Oryzias latipes: one gene and its partners. The protein of the gene in region 1 purifies or fractionates together with the protein of each later gene. This does not show direct contact. Links are inferred from orthologs where the notes say so. Each region holds a gene or a part of one and is shown in the gene's direction. Other genes may lie near its edges.

What was found. The genes of interacting proteins can lie anywhere in the genome.
Region 2: the proteins of march5 (region 1) and mfn2 purify together in Homo sapiens (affinity purification with mass spectrometry; 5 studies listed by BioGRID and IntAct, counting the BioPlex papers as one, with this or other methods). This does not show direct contact. The link is inferred for Oryzias latipes from reciprocal best matches to the Homo sapiens genes MARCHF5 and MFN2.
Region 3: the proteins of march5 (region 1) and mfn1 purify together in Homo sapiens (affinity purification with western blotting; 4 studies listed by BioGRID, with this or other methods). This does not show direct contact. The link is inferred for Oryzias latipes from reciprocal best matches to the Homo sapiens genes MARCHF5 and MFN1.

What each region holds. Positions count from the first base shown.
Region 1 is NC_019873.2:3,259,726-3,265,336, forward strand, and holds the start of march5 (E3 ubiquitin-protein ligase MARCH5), read left to right. Parts: upstream 1-2,193; 5' UTR 2,194-2,512; coding exon 2,513-2,556; intron 2,557-5,611. Other genes in the region: cpeb3 (cytoplasmic polyadenylation element-binding protein 3), read right to left, coding at 1-196, 1,379-1,478. UniProt on the Homo sapiens protein: Mitochondrial E3 ubiquitin-protein ligase that plays a crucial role in the control of mitochondrial morphology by acting as a positive regulator of mitochondrial fission and as an important regulator of immune response.
Region 2 is NC_019865.2:32,486,166-32,491,182, forward strand, and holds part of mfn2 (mitofusin-2), read left to right. Parts: intron 1-3,400; coding exon 3,401-3,563; intron 3,564-3,635; coding exon 3,636-3,760; intron 3,761-3,829; coding exon 3,830-3,938; intron 3,939-4,006; coding exon 4,007-4,114; intron 4,115-5,017. UniProt on the Homo sapiens protein: Mitochondrial outer membrane GTPase that mediates mitochondrial clustering and fusion. Mitochondria are highly dynamic organelles, and their morphology is determined by the equilibrium between mitochondrial fusion and fission events.
Region 3 is NC_019862.2:9,072,138-9,077,097, reverse strand, and holds the end of mfn1 (mitofusin-1), read left to right. Parts: intron 1-489; coding exon 490-686; intron 687-1,377; coding exon 1,378-1,512; intron 1,513-2,837; coding exon 2,838-2,907; 3' UTR 2,908-3,574; downstream 3,575-4,960. UniProt on the Homo sapiens protein: Mitochondrial outer membrane GTPase that mediates mitochondrial clustering and fusion. Membrane clustering requires GTPase activity. It may involve a major rearrangement of the coiled coil domains.

The sequences.
Region 1 (5,611 bases):
TCCATCGGCGCCTTGTCCTTGCTGCTCTGCGCCTGGATGCTCCCGCTGGACGGGCTGTCCGAGTCGGAGGCTGAGGAGGAAGGCTCCGATGATGGGGTCGGCGTGGATGGAGGGGGTTCTTGCGTGGGCTCTTGCTGATACGGAGGCTGGCCTTTGTTTTTGTCCATCAGTAAATCATCCTGCATGGTTTGGGAAGCTGCAACGGGAGGAAACAGACACGGGCTGTTAATGTGGCCGGAGCGGAGGTGAGGAGCTCAAACACCGGGCTGGGGACAACTCCGACACCGAGATAACGTTTGGACCGGCCGGCTGCAAGCCGAGCGCTGATCGTCCATTTATCCGAAAGCAGAACAAACGGCCTCTTCCCGAGACCACAGCGCCCAGCAGGAACCCCTCCAGCCGAGCGAGGCGACTGCGGCTGATATTCACCAGATTTCGCCACGTCTCGTTTTTCCTTCCACGCAGGAACTCCAGGGCTGCAATGTGAAACTGGTCGTCCTCTGCCCTCCAAGCGCCTCCCCTGCTCTCATTTCCATACGTCAGTAAATACAGCTGTCCTTCCACAAGGTGAAAAGGCGCTTTTGCTCTGACATGACATGAGCGACCACTGGACCTTTCCTGCTGGAAGCGGACACCTCGTTCCGTTTATTTCCCTTTAACTGAAAACTGCGCAACTGGAAAACTTAGGGCTTTTTTTGTTTGCTGTTTCCTTACATTTTGGGCAGATTCGGTGAATAAGAATCACCACAACTACCGGAGGTCTCACCGAAAATAAATCCTCACGATCATCTGTCCGATTTTTCTTATTGCGTAAAATGAGACAGGACCGCATTCCCACTGATCCCATTTCCCCTCGTGGAACAGAGTGTCCCTCGCCATTTCAACCGATATAAACCTAAGGATCACAATATAGTGCCACTAGAAAAGTCTTTATTCTCTATAAACACAGAAAAAGGACTTAGTTTGCAGCATAAATGTGCTCCTTGTGCGTTGCTTCGGCTCAACGCCTTGCGTAAATCCAGCGCACATTCTGCAAATATGCCGCAAGTTAGGTTAGATTTACAGACTGAATAAAAAAACAACAACATTTCTAGCTGTTGAGAATAAGAAATACTCAAAGCACACAGTAACATGTGTCATTTGAACTAGTTTTAGAGGCACAACAATAAATCAAACTCTGCCTGGCCAATGATCAGCAAAGATTTGACGACAATTTAAAGCTGTGGTGACACTGAAACAAGCATCGTTTTCAGGCCTTTTAATAGCACGGATGTTTTCAATCAATACTCCACGTGTGTCAGATCATTTTAACAACATAATCGAAATAAAAAAACAACCAGCAGGACTTTCAATGAAACACTCGCTGCACTCAGCCCACCGGGGAATTCGGTGTTTTCTCCTCCAAGAGAAACGCTTCCAAGGTCATGGACGCGGGAGACTGAGCTGCCTGGGGGGGCTCCCCTCTCTGGCCTTTTCATCACACACCCTGACCAAAACAGCTGACACTTGAAGCAGCTAGTGTGGTCGAGACATCCCCGTTTACATGACACGATGTTGCCGTGAAATCCCTCTTTGATATGTCCTGTAAACGTCAGAACAGCATGCACGCGCGGTGACGTCGCCCCTCCGTTAAACTGCCATTACCTTTATCGTTCACCTTTCTGAGACTGTGAATAAAGCTACTTCTCCACGCCTCGTCGGGCTTTGGATTTCACAAACGAGCTGCCCTGGTGGTGCCGAAGTAGTCAGCAGTTGCCTCAACAGCTGATTGACTGCAGCGCATGGATAATACCGAGGTGGCTGATGGGACTTGTAGTTGAACGGGACTTGTAATGACAGCACCAGTTATTCAAAAAGGTATTTAATGTTTTAAAATTGGTGTAAGGCTTGTATTTAAAGTCTGAATTAATTTATGAAATAAGACGTGAAATTTCTTGTGAAAAAACGTCAGGTAGGAATTATGTGGTCTCCGTTCTTGCGTAACGGAGATCCGGACGCAATTATTGAAAGAATTCTTATTTTTGTCTTCATATCCTGGCGTATATAGCAGAAAACCTCTAAAAATGTAAACATAAATATTTTTAAACTAATATGTTTGCTAAAAATCGTAGTAAACAAACTTATGTCTTTATTTTTAAAATTTTCCAGCTAACTTCCGTTTTGGGCTTATGTTGATGACGTCAGACACACGGTACCTTACGTTACCTCAGAGACGGCCAGTCAATGGAGTCAAACGGTCACGCAAACGAGGCCGTAACAGGTTTAAAAAGGATTTCTACCCGGAATAGCACATAGTCCGTAGATCGTTGCTATTCGGATAGACATGACTATTAGGCCGTAGATAATATTGTTGTTGGACTGCGGCTGACGCGGGAAACCAACGCACGAGCCCGTGCGGCTAACCAAGCTAGCTAACCGAGTCATCAGGGGCTGGATTTCGAGTAAATGTATGTTTACTGCAGTTAAATATTGACAGCAATAGGGAGAATTTCGACCCCACATCCCCACTACAATGGCGGAAGAGGCTGCAGTGGTCGCGCAGCAGAACCTGGACAGGTGAGTTCCAGCAACAACACGCTGCCCCCCCCCCCCCCCCCCGCGTATGTATACTGATGCTATCTGAAATAATAGCTCATTGCTATGAACGCACATTTCTGTGTCTCGTACTGTATAAACACTTAACAGAATCCAAATAAAGACCTCTCTCATTAACCAAACATTATACAGTACTACTATAGTATTAAAACATGATAATTGAGTTTTGGTACTTGTTCAGGAGGAAAATGCTTTCAGTTCTGAAGTGATTCATTGTTTGTAAGTTTATGCATATTTGTGAGTCCCTATGAGGATCTTTTGATTTATTGTAAAAGTCTTCCCAATGACCTTTTGAATTAGGATTTTCCAGTTTTTAGCCAAAATGATCAAACCTGTGTTGTTTTTATAGGACATAGTTTCTGCAGAGCAGCAGGAGTTCATCAGTAATTTGCCTCAGAGTGAGCACGACTTTTGGCGTGGAGCAAGCCGCTCCCCTTCCCGTCACCCAATATCTGAGCTCTCTATTTACACCCTCCCCCGCTAGCGTTCACCAGCATTACAACCCCAACCTAACATCAGCAGTGCAGCAGAAATGACGAGCAATGTCAGATCTATCCAGGCGTCCAGTTCTGATCCAGATTCCAGCTAAGACCAGGAAAACAAAGACCTTCATGAATCTATTTGTCTGCAGGTGGATGATCAGAATGGAGCAGAGCAGGAAGCTTAAATCCTGCCCAGCAGATTCTCTACATCACAAACAAGCTCCTTTTCCAACTGCATATTTTTGTCTGCTCCTGATTTATAATGATTTAAATAAAGAAAACCTCAGAAATGCGTTTTTAAGCTTATCAGAAAAATACCACAAGAACATGTTAAAAATGACATTTTCATCAGACTGGGTCTTTAAACGTTTGTCAAATTAGCTGTGTCATTAGCAAAGAGCGGCTGTTGCCCCCAGGTGTACCTGAGGACACAAGCTGCTCTACTAAGAGAGGTTAGTGGGCGTCTGCCCCAAGAACCTGTGTTAACAGCGTGACATCTGGAAATGCCCGGTCCATTTGTGTTGTTTTTCAACCGGTGTGGCATGGCCCACTAGTGTGCCGTGGGAGATTGTCCTCATTCACTGATCTAAAAACATTTCCCATCTCCAGGATTTCAGCTCTGTGTTCATCCAAACAGGTCCTGATAAAACACTGAGTAGTTAGGAATATGAAAGATCGTAAAATACTTTTTCTTTGTGTTCATTTGATTCTATAAAAGACATTTTGATAAGAATGACGGTACCGCGATTTAGCCGCTGCAGCTCTGTTTTATGAAAAGTCCCGCCCCTTTAACTGTCTCCACCAATCATTCTTGGAGGCTTAATCACACGTCATCAGTCTGACCAATCAGAAGTGGTTAAATTCTTCACTTCCTTCTTCAGATTCTGTTCATAAAGTCTCTCAGTTCTAACAAAAATACCAGCTAAAGCTCGTCTTTAGCGGTGTAGCTTTCCACAGAATCCGGTGTCAGACCGTGGAACAAGTGAACAAAACCATGAAGCTCAGAGATGCGAGTCTCTCTGCCCTCGGCGGCAGTTTCACACTACATCTCCCATGATGCATTGGGTTAAAGTGACAGCTCCTCAGCGCACAATGTGAACAGGCTGCCAGTTCACACCTACGGTCCCTCTGACCATCACCAGGACGTTCATGCACATTTATACTCCAGTGGAGCCGCACTGGAGCTACTGCCTGAGCCACTGCCGCCCCATTTCACGAAGCAGTCTTTCCATCAAATCCCTCTTTTAGTGACCCAGTGAACACCAGAACTCTTTGTAAGGCTGTAGGTATTCTAGGTTCTTATTTTCTTAATCTTGGTTGCATCGTTTTTTTGACCTGACTTAAAGGCCACTGGGCGGTCAATGGTGTCAAAAAGTTAGGGACTTGGATATCAATTTATTGAATAGAAATTCTTCTTTTGATAGTCAATAGTATTGATGTAAATCAGTTGGGGCCTGAAAGCGCTCTTCAAACTAGATAACCAGCCGTGCCATGATGTAGAGTGAGTTGAATGTCATGTAGCACCTACGTCTAACCACACACCGATGACGCTCCCCAAGCATTTCTGTGCACAGACAGGACCCCGAGGCCCACAGCACTGACAGAATCTGATAAAGGCTTATACAAGTCATTTCTGGTTGCACATTCTGTCAATATTGAGCTTTGAAATAATCTTTTAAGCATTAAAAGAAAATGCATGTGCCTCAGCTGCGTATTGCAGGTGTGGGGCAGAGCTCCCCTTTGTGTACAGGAAGCTGATAGTAGTGAGGTGTACGCCACGTACACAGTTGTGTACCCAGACTATCGGTGGCAAACAGACGGCTCTTATCTGGGCTGGCTACCAGCTGCCACTGCAATGCAGTGTTTCACAAATGTGTGAGGGAGACATTTGATCCAGTCTGAACTCTAACTTACACAACGGTTCACCACATTCCTTATTGCTGAAAAGTCTCCCTTTTCTCTATGAATTGTCAAGATCTTTTTGCAAAGGAACCTTTTTAAAGCACTGCTGGATTTTGTCATGTGTCCATTAATGTTGGACCACTGACCCATTGACCTAAGTTATTTTTAAATAGATTTGACTCGTCTGCTGGTGCTCATGAAAATGCTTTTGCTTTTTACTTTTAAAGTTTAGAAAAAAGCTGCTTTATTTCATGTATCTGTCATAAAGTGAGCGTTGGACACAAACATTACTGTATTTACATATTTACAGTATAGACATATAAGTTACTCGTTTGAAGGTTCCCTTGTTCAGAATTCATTTTATATATTCATATATATAAATTAGGGCTGCACGATATGAGGAAAACACGTGATATACAATATTAGTAATTAATATTGCGATAACGATATAATTTGCGGTATATAAAAAAAATAGAAAAATGCCAAAAACATCATTCCCATTTCATTAGAAACAGTTTAAAATTACACTCCAAATGACCCTCATTGACATAGGTGACAAACATCTAACATAATAGGCCTCCATCTGATTGGTAAACAATGGGAAGGCGTCCATCTGATTGGTCAAAGCATAA
Region 2 (5,017 bases), on another chromosome or scaffold:
TCACTGGAAGTGAGAGAGTTGTCATTGGTGCAGATTTCAATGGAATGTGATGGACAGGTGTGGTATTCAGGAGAGGAATGTTGAAGGACAGATGGTGGTTGGTTTTTAAAGAAAGGTGGAAACACCTTCCAGGGTTAGATGGAGGAGGCTGGTTCGCTGTGGCAACCTCGACGGAAAAAAGCTGTAAAAGCCAACGGTTTCCTGATGCTGTGGTTGAAGACCAGCTCACTGTGGCGCTCACTTAGGAGACATTTGCTCCAGTTTATGGGCTCAGGTGTGCCTGTGCTGAAGACATGCTTCTTCCTTCCTCTGCTGCCCTCTCCTGTCTTCGTCTGATGAAAAGCTGAAAGTCATTCTCACCCTCTGACACCTCCCTCCCCCACCTACCAGCTCCCTCACCAGGGAGGCGGGACTATGTCAGGAGAAGGTGAGGAAATACCAATGAGTTAAGTCGCTAGAGGAGACACAACCGCTTGGGAAGCCTGGCCACCGGTGGCGGAGCGTGACGCCATCTTGGTGAGGTCGACGGCGCCCACATGACAATGATTTCTATAGCCTTTGGTGGCATCTTAGTAGCTTTTATCTAATTTATATATATATATGTAGGTTTATACATATATAAATAAATTATATATTATACATATAATATTTATACATATACATCATTTGTTGTTGTTAAAGAAGAGAAACTGTCAGCCTTATAAGCTCCAACTTTAATGAAAAATGCATATTTGCAGGACTTATTGAAAAAAACATTATTACAAAGAATGTTTAAAAATGATTTTTAAACATTTAGAAGTTTTAGACCTCTTTGACATGCAACTTAAATTATTTAGAAAAGCCCAACAATAAGTCAATAATAATACATAATAATAATAAATTAATAAAACGTCAAATAATAATAATAAATCAATAATAAGTCAACAATAGGGCAAAATGTCAACAACAGGTTTACCCTAAAAAAGAAAAAGAAAAACAATAGATTTACTGATTCATGTGAGTCATCAATTTGGTGTAACACAGATGTTATGGTGTCGGGTTTCAAGCCAACAGTCTGGCCTCTTATCAAAATCTGTTTCCACCAAATCTTTTGAACATAACCAGACTGTATTACTAGTTGGTACCACAGTGATCCATCTGGGTTAACTCTTTTTATTGCTAAGGCCAACTTTTTCCTGAAGTCTGAATCCATTGGAAACCTGCAAGAAAAGTTCAGTCACTGAGTCAGAAATGTATATTTCTATATTACTGTAATAGCCTAGTCCTAGTATACTGTATAAAGGTTTAACAAAATAAAGTTTACTTTTATGTTGACAGCAAATTATCCGTACATCATGCAGCATGTTGATAAAGGCCCTGCAGCATCATGCATGTCAGCATGTGTAATATTAATGAAGCCCCTGCAGCATTAAAAGAAAACAATTATCGTACCTACATGTGAAATGTTATGCCTTCCTCCTTCGTGGACTCATTTCTCTGATTTTGTCAGTTGGAATTTTGCATTAAATGTGTTCACATGCAATGAACTGCAGCAGTGACTTGACCTCACCAAGATGGCGGTGCTCTCCTCCCATGAGGAACCACGTGATGTCTCCTCTAGCGATAGAACTCCTTGGGTAATACAAATAAAACCAGCAAGATGGTTTTATTTTAAAGCCACAGCCCGCTTTAAAGACCCACTCCAGTGAAAATGATGTTTTTGGACTTTTTAGCATGTTGTGGTATTTTTCTGATAACTGATGCTTGAAAGAAAGAAAGTTCACATTAAAATGGCATTTCTGAGTATTTCTCCATGATTGTCAATCAGGAGCAGAGGAAAAAAGGCCGTTTGAAAAGCATTGTATTTGTGACGTAGTTAATCATTGGGGTACCACAGCGTACTACAGTTTTTAATGTTGATTTCACTCTGAAATAAAAATCTACACACAATTTGCAAAATTCTACTCCAAAGAGCAAAACACTGCCATAGATTAGCACAACATTACACACAATGTCTGCGTCACTCTTCTTGCACAACATTACACACAGTAATCTGTGAAACTAAACAAACATTTCAACACAGATAAGGATTGTGTGCTTACTTCCTGGACATTACAAAGCCCAGGATTGCCAATGACCACACAAATGAATGAATTGGATCCTCACATCCACAAGGTGGGAAAGCACACGTGCTAATTTGAACACACAATCGTCAATGTGCCGGGGCAGCAAGGGGGTAACAACACCTTCTGTGCTGCTACCACACAAAATGGGTCATCCACCACCGCGCAAATCTGGAACCCTATCATGCAGATCTAGTGCTTGTATTTCTTGACAGATTGTACACGAATGTCACAGCATTAAACCAAGTGGACCAGATGCAGGACATTGTCGTTCCGTCAGCTGCTCTGGTCCACAATTGGTTCCATCCTCTCCCTGAATTTGGAGTCCTCTACCTTCCCCCATACCCCCCCCCCCCCTTCCTGAATCCAATGGAAGAGGTTTTTCAACATGGCAGTGAAAGGTATACGACCTGCAGCCATAAGACCGTTTGCCCCTCATTCAGGCCATGGAGCAGGCATGTGATTCTTCACTATGTGAGGGATCATTCTACCAGGTCGGTGAAATGATCCCTTACGTCTGACCAAATTTCCTAAAATGGTTTTTTTTTACAGTTGTGTTTTTTATTTATCACAGCAGTGTGAAACTGTCAGCAATAGTGTTTGATCCCTGAGGACCGTCATGGTTAAATAAAAACTAGCGACATTTTCACAAACATGTATGTTTTACTGAAATGTGTCATTTTGCAAACAGTCTAGGAATTCTGCAAATTGAGTGTTCTGTTTGGATCATTGTGATTTATATTTTGAGAAATGGAACCTGGTTTGCAAAATTGTGTGTAAACAATTGAAAAAACTGTAATTACGTCTCAAATACGTCTTTGTTTTCCTGGTCTGAGCTGGAATCTGGATGTAAACTGAGGAGCTGGATAGCTCTGATATTGCTGCCATTGTTGTTGCACCATCAATGTCAGCTTTGGGGTGTGAGGGCTGTAAGCTAGTAAACTCATATTCAAACTCAACTTTATTTGTTAGGCACTTCTCCTGGTACAAAGCATCTCAAAGTGCTCCCCATAATAAAATAGATATTAGTAAGATCAAATGTAGTAGGGGTCTGGAATCACCCCCGTTTCTACAGACCAGATTAACAGCTAACATTCCAGAAGAGGTTAAAATAGTCGAGAAAACTGATCCACTCTGATCAAAAGATGATCATTGAAAGTTACTCCTGCTCTCAGATCCAGGTACCGTTGTTTTAGCTGGAGGGAGGGGTCTCCTGCTCACACTTTGACCTCTAAGGTGAAAGGAGAAGCAGGCGAGGGGATGCACTGCAGCTAAGCTGTCTCATTTCCGCTCTTTAGGACCAGTAATGGGAAAAGCACAGTCATCAATGCCATGCTGTGTGACAAAGTCCTGCCATCTGGAATCGGACATACCACCAACTGCTTCCTGAGGGTGGAGGGCACAGACGGCAGTGAGGGCTTTCTCCTCACCGAGGGCTCGGAGGAAAAGAAGAGCATTAAGGTGAGTCTGTTGGCGTCATTCATGCTGGCTGCCATGGTGGGGCCTTCCCAGTGACACTCCTGTCTGTGTCAGACGGTCAACCAGCTGGCCCACGCTCTCCATCAGGACCAGGACCTGGACGCTGGCAGCCTGGTATGCGTCATGTGGCCCAAAGTCAAGTGTGCCCTGCTCAGAGATGACCTGGTACTGGTTGACAGGTCAGTTGTTGGCTTGTGGAATGTGACAGGAGGTGGTCTGAGCTGACCCGTCTGCCCTCACCCCCCCAGCCCAGGGATCGACGTGACCACCGAATTGGACAGCTGGATCGACAAGTTCTGCCTGGATGCGGACGTGTTTGTTCTAGTGGCAAACTCTGAGTCCACCCTGATGCAGACGGTGAGACGGTCAGACCCTCTGCCAAATGGCCCATGGTCCCACGGAGCTAACTGTGTGTCTGTCTGCAGGAGAAGTCTTTCTTCCACAAGGTCAACGAGCGTCTCTCCAGCCCCAACATTTTCATTCTCAACAACCGCTGGGACGCCTCAGCCTCTGAGCCCGAGTACATGGACGAGGTTAGTTCCCCTCATGGAAGCCTTTGTTGCCTGGCAACTGACTCCAGCTTTAACTATAGAGGTGGAGAGAAAGTTAAGTTTGAAGCAGATTTCGTCCCGTGTAGATTAAGTGGACGGAGAATCAATGTATGCAACAACAAAAATGACATTTCAAAAGTGTGTGTGTGTGTGTGGATGGATGCATGGATGGATGGATGAGTGGATGGGTGGATGGATGGATGGAAGGGACGATGCATGGGTGGATGGATGGGTGGATGCATAGATGGATTGATGGATGCATGGATGGATGGATGCATGGGTGGATGCATAGGTGGATGGGTGGATGGATGGATGGATGGATGGATGGGTGGATGAATGGATGGATGGGACGATGCATGGGTGGATGGATGGGTGGATGGATGGATGGGTGGATGAATGGATGGATGGGTGGATGCCTGGGTGGATGGATGAATGCATGGGTGGATGGATGGATGGATGAGTGGATGGATGGATGCATGGCTGGATGCATGGCTGGATGGATGGATGGATGAATGGGTGGATGTATGGATGGATGCATGGGTGGTTGAACGGTTGGATGCATGAGTGGATATTAGGGCTGGGCGATATGGCCTAAAAATAAAATCTCCGATTTTATTTTCTTTAATTCGATTTCCGATTTTTTCCCGATTCCCCCCCCCCCCCCCCCCCCACCCTACTTAAGGAAAGCAATAAGTACAAACAGACAAGTTCAAGCAAATGTTGCTTTTTATTTAATCAAATGCAAGACAAATGTAACCCCCATTTCTGAGATGAATAATAAATAAATGAACACGCTCTTGGAATCAAAGTTAAGTATAAGATTTTTCTTCTTACTCCCTTTTTGGACTTGTGTTTAAATAATTGTGTCTTGTTTTATATAACTTT
Region 3 (4,960 bases), on another chromosome or scaffold:
GGCCTCCCAAGAAGCTCACTATTGATTGGCTCGAGTGGTTGCCAAAGAAATGACTCAGATCGACTCGGACCAATCACTGCTTTGTGATAACGTCTGATCCCAACACGGTGGCGTTGGTATATGACAAAATGGCGACTGAATAGATTTGTATTATTTTTTTCATTTTAATGTGACAAAATTTCAAAATATACTACAATATATAGAGTGTAGTACACAAATATATATCTGTACATATTCTTCAAAAAAAATCAAAGTATAAAACAACAATCAACCCAACATAAAACAATAAAGTAAAATATAAACATTATTTTGTCAGTAATGATAAGCTATTGAGACTACTCTAAGCTGTTATTACTTAAAAATCTAAGTGTTTTAAATGACTGTGTCGTCCCTGATTTGTGTGAAAATATTTGCGTGATACGTTGCGTTTGTTTCTTTAGTCTTACATTTTTTGACAGATGAATATTTTTTGTTGCGTTTCCCCCTCAGGTGTGGAAAACGGTGGGCTGGAGGCTCATCGCTCTGTCGGCTTCTCTTTACGGCGTGCTGTACCTGTACGAGAGACTCACGTGGACCACGAAGGCGAAGGAGCGAGCTCTGAAGCGGCAGTTTGTGGATTACGCAACCGAGAAGCTGCAGCTCATCGTGAGCTTCACAAGTGCTAACTGCAGTCACCAGGTCCAGCAGTAAGTTTCCACACGGCTTTGGCTTCTCGGGACATGATGCTTTTCAGTCGGCATGCAACAATTCACTCTCCCCACGATTCGGCTCAAACCTCGATTATCATCATTTTTGTTTTAACATCAAGGTTTTGTTTCAGTTTGAAATGGGATTTTGTAAATTACAAAAAAAAAAAAAAACATGTTGAAAAGTCAATTTATTTAATACGCTTATAAGCAAGTAACACCTTCCAGTTGTACTAAGGCTGATGTAACAGCGTTAAATTTGGCATATTCACGTGTTTGACACTTTCAATATAAACATATGTAAACATATACAGCGGTGATGCAATGACTCCTTTTCCCCACAATTCAGTGTAACAAATAGTTTGGTTTTAAATGGAAAATCTTTACTTTTTAATGTAATTTTAATCATATTTGTCATTTTTTTTGCTACTTTACGATTCCTGATCATTTTTTACCCGTTTATACCCGTGTTTTAGGGTATCTTTATAGGATTATGTTATTATTGATTTCATTATTTTGTTTGGATTTTAATTCCAGTCACTTGAGTCTTTGTTACATATCGATGCAAACCTTCACACACACACACACAAACACACACGCATGCGCACAAAGCTCATCCCCTGCCGTCCCTCTCTTCTGTATCCGAGCTAAATAAATAAGTAGAATGACAATGTGCCTTCTGTGTTGCCAGGGAGATGGCTACGACCTTTGCTCGGCTCTGTCAGCAGGTGGACCAGACACAGAAAGAGCTGGAGGCAGACATCCGTCAACTGACAGACAAGATAGATCAGATGGAGAAGGTCCAGAGTCGCTCAAAGAGCCTGCGGTCAGTACAACTCCTTAAGTCACTGAAGGATCTCTACAATCTGTTGTGGGAATTCTCACAATATTTTATGCCTTGGATCATAAGTGAGTCATAATGCCAGACAAAGTATCCATTTACTGAAATTCATGGACTTTGCGGAAGCAACCGTCCGATGTCCATGAATTTCTGATGGACACCTCGAAGGACAGCATCCCGTTTATACCATGGTCACTTATGAAAGAAATCCCTTTTCACAATAGGGGGACTATTTGATATGTGATGTGACGTGTTGTCATGGTAACGACTACAGAGCCTGCACCAACCTCACTCTGCCGCAGCAGGTGTATAAAGACTAACCTAGGAAGTAAAGTAGTATGTAAGATAAATCTCATGTTAAAGACCCACTCTGATCATCTTTTGATCTATTTTCAAAGTGCCCCCCAGTGGTTTTAGGGTTAAACTGTTTTTAATCCAAAAGCTTGTCGTTTTCTAGGACATCATTTACACAGAGCGGCAGGACTTTATTAAAAATGCGCATCTGAGATATGGGCGGGACTGTTGGCACAGAGTAACCCCGCCCCCTTACTGTCATCCATCTGTTTACATGCTCTCCCGCTAACTTACAGCCCCTCAAACCCCCAACCTAACATTACCGGAGGCACAAAAATGGCGAGGAGCTATCCGGCCGTACAGTTTTGAGCCAGAAACCAACTCAGACGAGGAAAACAAAGACGGCCATGGATCTATTTGTCTGCAGTTGGATGTGGCCTGCCAAAGTAGTTCCTAAATAACCAACATCATCTTTTTCAAACAGCATTTTTTCATCCGCTCCACAACAACACGATAAAACACCATTTTCATCAGAGTGGCTCTTACGAGTGATACAAGCATCATTTCAGAGGGAAACTTTGGCTCAGAATGCTTGTTATTACCCGATGATGAAGCAAACAAAGTTCACAAGCAGTTTCCTTGATCGCTTTTACTGCAAGAAATATCCCCCATTAACTCTGATAAAATGAATAACAACATTCTTTTAGTAATTAATAATGAACTAATTTATAAACATGGGTTCACTCTGAATCAAGACAGACAACAAATGACTTGATTTAAAGGCAACATTGCTGTTGGGATAAACTGGAACAACGAATGTCCACTCGTGTTGTGAGTTTCCGTTGGTCCCTTAACCAGCTGGTGCTTATACCAGCTTAGTTATGTAGAGCATTCAGGCTACTTCTTTATGGGTATCCATGATTACTTTCTATTCACCCATACCATGGTATAGATGACTATAATGATCCTTTGATTAAACTGGGTCAATTTTGTTTTTGTTTTCTTTTGCATTGCAGGCATAAAGCGACAGAGCTGGAGAGACAACTGGAGGAATTTACACAGCAGTACCTGCAGCCACAGGAGTGAAGATGCTCCATCTCCTCCCTCGGCTCTTTGGCTCTCATGGAGCTCCTCATTCCTCAGATCAGAGCCCCGCTTACAAATCTTTTACAAAAAAAAAACTACAACACCAGAAAACTCAACAACAAAAAAACATTTCTACACATTGGAATGCAGAAAAACAAAACTACAATCCCTAAATATGATAAGTCTGGTTTCAATTGTTTCTGTTTTTTTTTTTTTCTTTTCCATTTCAATAAAATACAAATAATCTGTAATGTTGATTAAAAGAATCTTAATTTGATGTGTTTCTCAGCCCCTCAGTCATGAAACTGCGATGCTGTATTTTCACGTTAACATGCTCTGGCACTCATTTTCAGTATGGTTCTTTCAGATTACCTGTTAAAGAACACATTAAGATGGCATGTTTGCTCAAGTATTTGCCTCCAAACATCAACTGCCTGAACAGAATTTCACAATAAAAGCATTTATTAGAAAACCCCCAAATAGATTTTAGGTTTAGCAATCAAATCTGATGCTGCATTTTTAACAACCTTTCAAATATTTTGTAATATTATATTTATATGTTCTATAGTACAACAGTTGGGCCCGATTATTTTGTAATCTTTTTTTTTTCTTCTCTTGAACAAATGTGGAAATACTCCCAGAATGTAATAAATGGTTCTCAAACAAAGTGCGTGCCTTCATATGAACGTTCCAGCCCACCGTGCTCGTGTTAAACGCCTCTGACTTCCTGAAAAAACACAAAAGGGAGTTGTGTGTTGGATGCAAATCCATCAAGCCGCATATTACACCTGTAAAACGTGTCATGCATTTTCTGCACGCTTTCAGATTCTAAATAATACCAACAGGCATGAAAACTCTTTGTTAAAGTTTTTTTTGTTTATTGGTCACAATAACTCATGGCAACATACCAGTATCACCAAGCCACTGTACAAATACAAAAAAAGGGTTTGGTGTGAAAAGGACTATAAAAATTATTCCATACCAAGTGATTATAATTTCACACAATAGCACTGTAAAAGAATTATATGGCACCAAAGTCCCTGGTCTTTACTGGCAAAAAGACACTAAAAATAAAAACAGAACAGTAAGTTGTAGGAGGCAAAAGACGACAGTTCTGTGATGGCAGCCGTGCGGTTCACAGCGAGCGTTCAGGTTTAACTCGAGGATGGAGAAAGTCACAGTAAACTGCAGAAACCAAGCAGCAACCACCAATCCAGTCATCTTTACTGATCCACATTCACTTAAACTGTCACTAAAATCAATTGATCTGACTGATTTTAGAGAAAAACAACAAGAACTGGTGGAGCAACAAGGTGAAGGAAACACCTTCGTCAAAGCACCTCTCTTTGATTTTAGAGTTTACTTGCGTTAGTGAACTGCACAGGCACATGTGTTTCTATTCCAGGCTCCAGCGGCTGATTTACACAGAGCGACATGTTAGCCTGCTAAACATCACGGTCTCCCTCTCCTTCTCTTAAGGACTACGGTGTTTTGTGGGTTTTTCACAAAGTTCTGCAAACATGGAAGCTGGAAAAGGCTGGGTTCAGTGGAACAGTTCAACATTTTAGGAACATTTCAGTGTTAAAGGATACAATCCTTAAGTTATGAATTTAGGTGTGGTAGCGGCTAAAACTTCCTTTTTTATTTACAAGAGTCAAATGTTTTGAAATAGGATGCAGTTACTGATGAAACAAAAGAATTTTGGTGCAGAATTTTCTTGAATGAGATCATAAAGGAGCCCCTGACAAACTAAAGCAATGTGGGAATTTCCAACATGTGCAGATGACAAAGTCTTCTAAGCAATAACCTCATTACAAACTCAAATTTAATCCAGCTTGAAGTGTTTTATAAACATCAACAGTACGCTTTTTTTCAAATAGTATATTCAGCATTCTGGGGTGGGGTTGTAATTCTGGCATCAGGGTGGTATACAGCTCCAATTTAAAATGCAAAAAAAATGTATTTTTTATGGTCAAATTTTATGATGCCAAGCAAATCAAAAAATCAACACCTCTTTTTTTAAAACTTTTTTTTTTAACTCAATGTTTCTTTG